2 separate regions of the Mus musculus genome follow, and region 1 is reported to be linked to region 2. The links are microRNA targets in miRTarBase. Many come from high-throughput screens and were not tested one by one. Region 2 holds a microRNA gene; the other region holds the end of a gene's coding sequence.

Evidence for each region. Region 2 holds the annotated microRNA mmu-miR-1188-5p (UGGUGUGAGGUUGGGCCAGGA, at 2,922-2,942, opposite strand). A microRNA usually pairs through its seed, bases 2 to 8, with sites in the 3' UTR of a target mRNA and lowers its output. Matches are read on the target gene's strand: a 7mer-m8 pairs with bases 2 to 8, a 7mer-A1 pairs with bases 2 to 7 and ends in A, and an 8mer does both.
Region 1: miRTarBase lists Sh2d2a as a target of mmu-miR-1188-5p. Seed matches in the 3' UTR shown: 7mer-A1 at 3,720-3,726, 7mer-A1 at 3,549-3,555 and 7mer-A1 at 2,323-2,329.

The regions. Positions count from the first base shown.
Region 1 is chr3:87,851,592-87,856,961 of GRCm38, reverse strand. Sh2d2a (SH2 domain containing 2A) reads right to left here. Exons shown (of 7, transcript NM_021309.3): 6 at 5,087-5,239; 7 at 1,240-4,895. The coding sequence ends at 4,554. Among named protein-coding and RNA genes, the nearest start is that of Sh2d2a, 7.5 kb to the right of the region's middle.
Region 2 is chr12:109,609,413-109,614,782 of GRCm38, reverse strand. It overlaps Mir1188 (microRNA 1188), which reads right to left and starts at 2,961; the gene lies at 2,842-2,961. All of the region lies in intron 2 of Rian (RNA imprinted and accumulated in nucleus), which reads right to left. Mir341 (microRNA 341) reads right to left here and starts at 3,283; the gene lies at 3,188-3,283.

The DNA.
Region 1 (5,370 bases), not on the chromosome of region 2:
AAGAGAAATGCTGGCACGTGTGTTAGTTCATACCTATTATTTCTGAACTTTAAAGGTAGAGAGGCAGGAGGATTACCATAAATTTAAGGCCTACAGTGTGAGCCTTAGTCTCAAAATTCAAAAGGTAGGCTAGGTATGGTGGCACACTAATCTCAATACTTTGGAAGGCAGGGACAGGTGGATCGCTGATTTCCAGGGCACCTAGGGCTACTTGGTGAGACCCTTTCTAAAAGGCACGGGGTCGAGAAAAGGAGAAAAGAAAATAGGCTTCCTCCGATGAACAGGAAGAGAAGATGGATAATGGATCAGAGAGAGAGGAGCTGTAGAAATGATGTGTGCTTAATGGACTAACGGCAACGGTCAAGGGGGAAAGGGGAGAAGGCCCTGGCCACACAAGCATCCTGTCTTAGCCCTTGGAAGGCAGAGGAAGGAGGTTTATGGGTTCTAGAGTAAGATCCTTCCTCAAAACAAACCATCAGTGAGTGTCCTTGAAGATAAAGGTGTACTGTCACTGGCCAGGACAAGAGTGGAAGAGACTGACGTGGCTGAAGATCTGACTCAAACTGCAGAAAGATGGAGAACTTTGAGTGAGGGCTTCTGTCTATCCAGCCCCTCCCTGTTGTTGGCCGACATGGCACGGGGCCCAGGAAAGTGGCTGGGTTTTGGTTTTAGCTTGCATTCGGGGGAGGACCATATAGAGGTAGCTAAGGATGATCAGCCCTTTTGAGTGCATGTGTGGAGGGGTCACTGCTACCCAGTCTCTCGTCCTCCAGGCAGGCACAAGGGACAATACTGAAACTTTCTGCTGTATTCCCCCAAGGAGCAGGGAATGGCAGTCGTGAGGATCAGTCACTGGCGAAAGGTTGGGTCTGGAGGACAGCTGGATCTACAGTGCGAACAGTCTGACTGTTGGCAGATGTGAGAGCAGGCTGGGCCAGAGTGCCTGGGCCGGGAAGAAGAAGTGCTATCTTAGTTTCTCTTCCTGTTGATGGGATAAAATATTCTGACAAAAGCATCAGCTGGGAGAGAGGGTTTTTATTTTTTGTTTTTTTCCTAGCTCACACTTTAAGCATGTCACGGCAGGGAAGTCAAGGCAACAGGAGAGTGTCTCAGGGTTTTACTGCAGTGAACAGATACCATGACCAAGGCAACTCTTACAAAGACAACATTTTATTGGGGCTGACTTACAGGTTCAGAGGGCCAGTCCATTATTTTCGTTTGTTTTGTTTTTTTGTTTTTGAGACAGGACACAAAAAGCACATGTTACCTTAAATGAGCTGTAGTAAATCGGGGTAACAGCTGTGTGGGGAGCTACACAGAGAGAGAAACAGTGGCAAAGGCTACCTCCAGAGACTCGGGTGACTCTGGAGCCAGTAGGGCCATGCATGGCCAGCCTCAGAAAACCTCCAGTGAGATGAAAGTGGGACCTAGCACAGACTGCTCCCGGGCTAGGACTCTAGAGGAGTTTAGCTCTAGGGCAGGAAGCCAGTCCTGAAGTGAGTCTGGGCAGAGAAGGGAGAAAGGCCCATAGAATGGGGCAGGGAGGGGGATGGGCTCCTGAGTGAGGTAAGGACTTAAGCTGCCTCCTCTGAGGGCTCACAGATTGCTAAGGCACCCTTCTCCCAAGTCCTGAGTTGCCCATCTCTATAGGCACCCACTCCTGTGCCCGGGCTGCCCACCCAGCCTACCCCAGCTAAGGGAGAAGCACTTGGCAAAGGGAGTCCGTGTCCTTGTCCTCATGGTTTTTAACTTTCAGCCAAAAGATCAATAACTTTGCCTAAGTGTCTTTGAACCTCTAGACCCCTATGAGCGACAGTGGGAGAGAGAAAAGGGCTGGGGAGGAGCTGGAAGGACAGAGATTCCCGAGGAGGGAGATTGTTGCTAATGATTTATTAGCCAGACAAGGACCAACAAACAAATCCTAACATCTGTTCTCACCAAAACATTTCTCAGACAACAGCAGCCATTGGATCGGGGCCCAGATGCGAAGGCTCAGAGTGCCAAGGCTTCCTAAAGTCCAGTTTCTTCAGGAGGAAAAACCAGGGCACAGGAGGCAGGATGGCTTCCCTAGTACATACAGTTCCTTGCCTTGGTTCCTGGTGACTTTCAGAAGGGAGCAGTGTGAGTGTCTGTGTGTGTGTGTGTATGCAAGTATGCATGTGTGTGTGTATGTGTTTATGTGTGTGTATGCATGTATGTGTGTATGTGCATGTGTGTGTGTATGCAAGCATGTGTGTGTATTCGTGTGTGTATGTGTGTGTGTGTATGCATGCATGTGTGTGTGTGTGTGTGTGTGTGTGTGTGTGTGTGTGTGTGTGTGTGTGGTGTGTGTGTTGCTATGAGGAAGCACAGATCCCACATTTGGTCCTCTGACTTCCAGGCTGCTTTGGAGCAAGGAAGGCAGACTTGTTAAGGGGACAGGGAAAGGTGGAGTGCAGGGAGGTCCCAGTGCAGAACTCTGGAGAGCAACCAGCTTCTTAGCTGAGGAAATCTCTCTGTCCCTTGTGGAGAAGTGAGGATTCAGAGGACGGATGGGGAATGCTGAGAGGGGTTTCAATCCTTGACCTTGGCCCAGGCTTTCTCCTTCTCTGGCTTGTTTCTTGATTTGCATAATGAGAGGACTGGACTTAATTGATAGGAGAGAAAGAAACGCTGCTCACCCTTCCCGCACCCACAGCAGACGCCACTCATCCGTCACCTGCTCCTTTCTGCTGAGCTTAGATCTGACCTTAATATCCTTCCAATGCTGCATGCCAGGCAGCCGAGACCAATGGATTGGAGCTGGCACGCGGGGTGACACCTCCTCGCCATCCGTGTAGCAGATGAAGCTCTGCTCACCTGTAGTCTATCCCACCTGCCTTCCCTAAGAGAGGACCCAGGGGTCTGTGAAGGTCTCAGGACACAAAATGCCCCAAGCTACCCTCCCAGATCAGACTTACCCCTAATAAGGCCTGATGGGGAGCCATGAGTGCTCTCTGTCTAGAAAGGGCAAGCCTCTAGGGCCAGGGGGGCTCATGATGAAGGACAGGGTCTTACTCTGCCACACAGTCCTCAGAATGCAGCTCTGGACCATCTGTCCTCTGCAGACAGAAGGACAGCTCTGGGTCATACCCTCTGCCTCTTTGGCAGAGCTACAGTCTCTAGGAGAAGGTATATGGTCTTAACCCTTTGGCCTCCAGAGGGGATTTAGGTTCCCGTCCATCCCTCTGCCTCTCCTCTTCTCCCTTCCCCCTCCCTCCCTGAGGCAGTTGCTTCATGCCAAGCACTGGGCCAGTACTTTAGAGATAGCTGAGCATCCCCCAGGGCTGCCTCTAGTGAATCAGGCTCTGCAGGAAGGGGAGATAGAAGAAAAAAAGAGCAATGGGAGTCTGGGCTGAGCAGGGGCCTGGCAAGGGTGTGTTGGGAGGTCAGGCCAGGGAAGGCTTTGCAAGGGGAAGGGCTTGTGGTCTTGAGTGGGGTTAAGGGTTGCCAGGCAGCAGGAGGGCGGTCTTGTAGGGATTGCTGTGGGCAGGACTGACTTGGTAGCCTTTGGTGAGTTTGGAGAAATATGGTGTGGGTGCTTGAAGTGGGGCTGACGAAGTGGGACCTCGCCTCAGTATGGAAGAGCTGGAGGACCAGGCAGCTGACTCACAGAGCCCATTTTGGCTTCCTCGGGGAAGAACAGGTCAGAGCTGACAAGCCTGGTACTAGGAAGGCAGTTAAGCCACTCAGTGAAATCATGGTGTGGCTCAGACATAGAGTGCTTGTCTAGCACGTACCAAGCCCCAAGTTTGATCCCACATACTGTAGGAGCACACAGTGGTAATTCCAGAACTTGGGAGGTAGAGGCAACTGACATTATTGACAGACAGAGACTGAAGCAAAGGGGATGGAGATGTTTAGGGACCCCACATTTCTGGCTGGATAGCTGGGTGCTGGGGGTTAATCAATCAGGGTGTGGAACACAGGACACTGTGCGTGGTGCATGTGTGTGTGTGTGTGTGCGCGCGCGCGCTCATGCGCGCGCCCACACAGGGTGCGAGTGAGGTTGGTTCAATTGATGTTGGAGTGGCTTTGGAACCCTGGCAGAGCCTGGATGGACCCAGGGTTAAGAAGGCTGGTAGGGTACAGGTGAGCTGGGCTGGTGAGGGCCAAGCAGGGACCTTTGGTGGCAGCAGAGAGGAAGCCTGAAGTAGGACCTGACGCAGGTACAAGGGAAAGAGTCTGACTCCTTTAATAGTAATACCACATTCAGACATGACTGAAACTCTGTGGGGAAACTGTGAGGGTGAGCACACAGTGTGGCAGCCTCCTCCTCTGAGCCCACTGGCAGTGACGCTCTCCAGGGAGCTGGGTCAGTGTCACATGTGTGTGAGGAAGGCCTGACCAATGAGAGGCAGCCTGGGATGGAGAGTGGTTGAAGGAAACCTGAAGTAGGGGCAGGTAGGGCTTGACAAAGCTGAGTCCACGTGAATGTCCAGGAAGAGCCTTAGGCCTGGAGCTGGGCAAAGGTTTTCGGCAGCGTGGAACACTCCATCTCGCTTCAGCCTGCTGACCTTCACCTTGCCCGATATTCAGGAGGGGCTCCCTCTTTCTGCTCGACTCCTTGAGCTTATCTTTCCCTGTACCTCCCTTACCTGGCCTCTTGAGATAGGCCTGGACCAGCACTTTCGGAGGATGGGGTGTCCAATGGGCGCCGTTCCCGATGGCCCTTCCACCTCAGCATAGATATTACTAGGAGCGTCCCCAGGGCTGCCCCGCCCCATGGCATAGAAGGCTATGGGTTCATCAGGCTCCTGGTAGATGGGGTTAATGGGTGGGGCCTGATGCAGTCGTGAAGCAGGACTTGTATAGACTTCAGGAGGAAGCTGAGGCTTGGCGGGGATGGGCGGCCTGGGTCTGGATGCCTGGGATGTCTAGGGGGAGAAGGCAAGACCAGGGAAGAAAATTAATGAGAACCGTGGAGACAGGGTCTAAGCCCAGGCCCATCTCAGCCTGAGCCTCTACCTATGACAGCCTGGCTTCTTCCTCTGTCCTGTGTCCCCTTCTCCAGGCCCTGACACCCCAACACCCCCCATCCCACAGGTTGAGTTGACCAATATAGTACCGCCTTCTGTTGGGAGGCCCATACTTTCTCTGTGTGTCCTGAGGCCTGGGCCTGGCCCTGTTGGAGGAGCAGGCTGAGCTGGGTGTCTGGGTCCTGTCTTTTGCTTCCAGAGTCTGAATCAGCCCTTAGGGAAAGTCCAGCAGGCTCAGCTGTCTGCAGGAAAAAAAGGAGGCCTGAAGGGTTGGGGCGGGGTGGGGGCATCAGGTGATCCCAGAACAGCAATTAGGTCGGAGAGGATGGAAGAGACTGGGGAAGAAGTGTGCTGTGGGCTGGGCTCTCTGTGA
Region 2 (5,370 bases):
TTGGGGAGTGGTCTGTCCTGGTCCTGGACACATAGCAGATAGTGCCATCTAGTGGACCAGCACCCTGTGGGGGTCCCGGACCTAGCCCCCAGGAGTGCAGGCGACCCTTGCTCCCAAGTGGCTAAATCACTCAGGGGCCATGGCCTGCCAGGAGCCTTTTGTTTTGTGGACGATAGCCAGCTCTCTCGTCTATCCAGTCCAACTCCTTTAGAGGTTTCCGGGAAAAACAGATAATTCAAGTAACAGCTGTTGGCTGCCGGTGTCTGCTTTCCGTTTGAAATGAGGCTGGGGGATGCGTGTGTACCTGTCTCTAATTTGCCTGGTGGCCCTGGGAGGCTCTGAGAATTGGCTCCGTTTTCAGGGAGAAAAACCGAGGCTCACTGAGATTGTATTTGGTATAAAGCCCTGCGTTTCAGGCTGTACTTACCTTAGAGAACCCCCACAGTCCCCTTGAAAGTGCAGGAAGCACTTTGGACAGAAATCTGAATAAGCCAATCATAAAAGTAATTTATGAGTTCATCAGGCAGATTTGGACACTGCATAGAGGTTAGATGGCAGAAAGGAAAAGCTGTTAATTTCTTAATTGTGGTAATGGCATCCCACGTATTTTTATTTTACAGATTGTGGCAATGGATATCTTTATGTTTTTATTAAGGAAAACGGCTTTGCTTAGAGATAAATATTCTGAGATACACAGAAGAGACAATATGATCTCTAGAATTAGCTTCAAACCAGTGCAAAAGATGAGGACTTTAACAGTGGGAGGGGAGGGGGGTGTCCAGGGCTCACATGAAGCAGGGGTGTGTGTGAATTTGATGGGCACTACATCTGGAAGATGAAATACAGGTTAAAACTGTGCTGTTTAAGAACACATTGTTTTATCCGTTTGTGGTGTCTGGGGAAAAAAAAGCATAATAAAATCTGACTTTCTTTTTAATCAACAAGTGAAAAATGGAGTGCAGAGGTGCCGACGGCGTCCAGAGAAACGCTTAACAGCTCGGAGGGGGCTTTGGGTACTCAATAAAGGAAACACAGCATCCTGAGGCTGGTTTACAAGGATCTGAAACAGCACGGGACCGAAGAAACACTCCCTGCAAACTGGGTGGACTGAAGGGAAAGTGTTGGGGGGCACTCTAGAAACAGACACCCACCAGATTCACACCATCTACTCCCTGATGGGACCTCTAGCACCGCCAGACCCTCCCCACTGAGCTGCAAAGACCCCGCAGCAGCATCTCTCCTTAGGGCAAAACCAGCAACCTGCGTATCTTTCTGCTGGGACACTGTGCCAATTTAGTTAAGAGAACAGCACTGTCACCTGTCACACACATCGAGTAACTGGCTCAGTCACACTGTCTAGTTTTCGTTTTTTTTCTTTCTTTCTCTCTTTCTTTTTTTTAATTAAGCCTTGCTCGAAAGGTAAGAATTGATGCTTTTCCCCCTATCGCTGTTTGCAGCCGCCCCGCCTCGGCTGCTCTCAGCCCCCCGCCTGAGTTTGCGCTCAGTCACAGGACAGCAAACTGACTCACCTTGAGACCCCAAGACCTGCTGGTCCACTAACCCCTTATGACTCTCCATCGTTCCCAGAGCCCACACTTTTCTGGCCCTCCTGCAAAAACCACAGGCTCTTCTTCACTCTTCCCTTGGGTTTCCTGGGCTCCTGGCCACTTCGCACTGCCTGCAAGCCCTCTCCTTCATCTTTCATTCCTCACTTTGGAAAGCAGACACTGGACAGCTCCGACCCTCAGCCACTCGCCCGCCGCAGCTCCTGCTGCACTGCAGCACAGTCTCTGTGGGAGAGGTGCAGCCTGAAGCCACCCGGGACACTGTCGCCCCCCGCCCGCCCGCCTGCCCGCCCGCCCGCCCGCCCGCCCGCCTGCCTGCCTGCGTCCTCTGCATCTGCTGCAATTAAAAGCGCTGCCGCAGAAATCCAAAGCGTAGGTCCCTCTTCGTGTCTCCCCCCTCCTCATTTGGGAACGCAAAAACTGTAGCCCAGGCAGCCCCCTTGTGGCACTTGGGGGCGCCACAGACTCTTGGCTGCTGTTTAAAGATTTCAGACCATTTCCACTGCACCGTGAGTTGGCACAAATCTTAAGTGGCCCAACTTCTATCGGATGCAGAACTCTGCTTTCTGCTCCTTTTTAAGAGTCCCCTCTCCACTCCTCTATCCCCATCCACATCTCCCTCTGAAGGAAGGGAAGTTGCCAGAGTTATCCTGTTGAATACAGCTCTGACAAGCAGACAGGTGTCTGGCAACCGTAGCAATAACCAGGAAAGTTTCTGGGAGAAGGCTGTCTCTTTGAAGGATGTTTGGTTCCCCTCTCTTATCACACAGGAATGGGATTGTCTCTCAGAAGGTTCAGTTTCCATTTCTCTCTCACAGATGGCAACTTGAGATGAGAGGAAGGTCAGGGTCTAAGTTTGTGTTTGAGGAGGTGGTCGGGGGCTCTCCCACCATAAAGGGGTCAGTATAGGGCACATCCCTAGTGTGAGGGGCTTGCCTTAGGAGGTCTCTGTTCCCAGCTTTAAGCCCCAGATGCTCAGAGGTGACACTTTTCATCGAAAAGTTCACCAGAGCCCTGGAAAATTCTGAGCACTCTAGACTGCAGTCAATACACAGAGACCCTAGCCCCCCACTAACTCTATTTATAATTTAATTACAGATGAATAGGGCCCTCTCTGCATCAGGTTAATAATGTCATTTTCATAAGCCTCCGCTAATAGGTAGGTGCCTACACCTAATTTTGACCCTGCCCTTCAAAGGGATTGGGCCACAAAATAGCTGAGATCTCAAGGACTTCTGGGAGGTGCTTATAACTAGTCAATCCATCCTTTGCCCACCCACACCACTCGGCACAGCCTTGCTAGGCAGTCTTCAGCAGCAGGGTGTGGTGGGGAGCCTCGGAGAGCCTTGGGTTTCATCCTGGCCCAACCTCACACCAGCTGGGAGACTGTGAGTATTGGACTTCTTTGCTTTTCTGTGCCATGGTGTCTTCACCAATCCAATGGAGATCATGAGACTTTTCCTCTTTGTGAAATTTCCCATGTGAGTTCTGGACAGACAGCCCACCCAGCTCAGGGCTTCAACTAGGGTGACTTGAATCCCGACTGCCATCACCCACCCTGATTGCATTGGTGTGTGGCAAAGTATTTCCTGTTTGTTTTCTCATAAGAATGATTGCAGTTCGAAGACAGGAAGCCGACTGACCGACCGACCGATCGACCGACCGACTGACTGACAGACCGAGCGATCGGCCGACCGGCCAACTGACATCATCATTTTAACCCTAACCTCACCCTAGTGATCTAGGAGGTAAGAGTGTTGCAGTGTCTGGTGTGAATGAGTGGAGAGTTAGCCATTTCCCAGAGGCTATACCATGCCCTAAGCATGCTGCCTCCTTATCTTAGCTGTCACTTCAAGGGAGAGACAGGGAAGGAATATCTCTGTATGTGTCTCTCTGCTTTATAAACCCAAATGCTTGTTATAAACCATGCAAATGCTAGTAAATGCAGATGTGGGCTCTGCAGGGCTTTCTGCTGCCTGCCACATCTCCCACATCTCCTGTGAGTTCCTCAGGCTAAGAGCTGCCTCCGGGCTGGCTTGATTTGTGTGATTAAGCCTGCAGAGGGGACTCTGCCAGGAGATGTTGTAGCGTGTATGCAGCATGGAGCTTTGAAAAGCCAGACTGTTGTCTCTCTTATGACACTTGTTACATGTCACCCTCCTCCTGGATCCCACTGGCGACTCCACGAGCGTTTATAAAGTGTCTGGTGGAGGCTAAGCTACTCTCATCTGCTTCAGTCCTCACTTCAAGCCGGTGAGAGAAAAACTCTCATCTTCATTTCACAGGGAAAGCCCGAGACTCTGAAAACTAAAGGGAATTGTGTGGCCTCACGGCTACAGAGGGAGAGTCAAGCTTAGCTGTGCAGCTTGAGAGCCCCCTGGCTCTACTGCAGCTGCTCTTGTAGCTCCCACTTCTGCAGGTCAAACGGAGCTGGCCAGGCAGCCACTGCTCAGTCAGGAAAAAGAAAAAAAAATAGAAAACAGGGGGCTTTGCATTCAGAGGCTTCTCCCTAGCAACTGGTGAAGGGGCAGAGAGACAGAGAGAGAGAGAGAGAGAGGGAGAGAGGGTCTCAGAGCTGATTAAGAGCTAGAGACAGAGCAGCTGCCCCCCCTCCCCTAAGGGGAGCACCACGCCCTCCCCTGGGCTGCTGGAAGAACAGCAGGGCAAAAGGCTCAGTAACCAATGGCAAGAGAGCATAGGAGAAGCACCCCCAGACAGGTGGAAGAGGCCCCAAATTTATTCTCAGGGTGGGTGGGGGTTTTGCTATTGACGACAGCACAGAGAGGACCCTGAAGAGAGGGAGCTTGCCTCCTCTAAAGACCTGAGGGCCGAGACATAAGCAGGCTGCTGTTGGAGCTGCGGAGGCTGATGTAAAAGACAGGGGAGGGCTGAGAGGAGCGTCTCAGTACGTGAGCCCCCAAGCAAGCGGCTGGGGAGAGAGAGCTCACTGCTACTGGAGGCACCCGAGCAGAGAGGCAGGCCGGTAGGTGATGGGGAAGCTGCAGCAGGTTTCTCTAGCTGGCTAGCAGCCCAAAGGGACAGGCTTTTGAGAAGCAGCCCCAGTGCCCAGTCGGGAGCCAACAAGTGGGGCTGGCTGGAGGGTACCTGGCAGGGGTCAGGACAAGGATGGGTGGCCTTTGCCGTGACCCTCACCAGAGGTTAAATGGCAATGGCACCCTGATTGGTAGCGTAGTACCACTGAGGCACTGAGGGAGAAGCACTGTGATTGGGGGAGAGTGCTTTGGGAGAGTGGGGGTTGGTGGGAGCTGTCCAACTCCTCCTTAAGGGAGGGCCAGCTGGAGCAGCTAAGAGTCTTCTCTGGCTGATTTCAGGAGTGCTAGCCTGAATCATCTGTAAGGTAACAGTCTGGTAAAGTGGGTGGGGGGCATAGAAAAAGGGTCTGTCTGGTTGAGGTATCAGCTGGTCATAGAAAAAGCAGGCTACTTTTCTGGAGGCTAGATGCTAGCCACAGAGTCAGAGGGCTGCATGACCTGAATAGGGTGGGAGGCTTGGAAAAGCACCCTACCTAGTGGGAAGACTCAGGAGCCTGGGCACTGATGGCTGTGGCTGAAATGCTAGCCTATTAATGGGGGTTTCACTGGGGGCTTTTAGCAGATATACCCCTCAACCAGACACACCTGTGCTGTGTAGTTTCTATGGGAGACTCTTGTCATTGCTCCTGGGCTTGTACTCAGTATATGTGGAGTATGTGTGAGTGTGTACTTTCAGGGGCCAGCTGTGAAGGTGGCTGGGGTTTCTTGTCTATGAAATAATCAGGATGACCTGACCTGATGAAGCCTTGAGA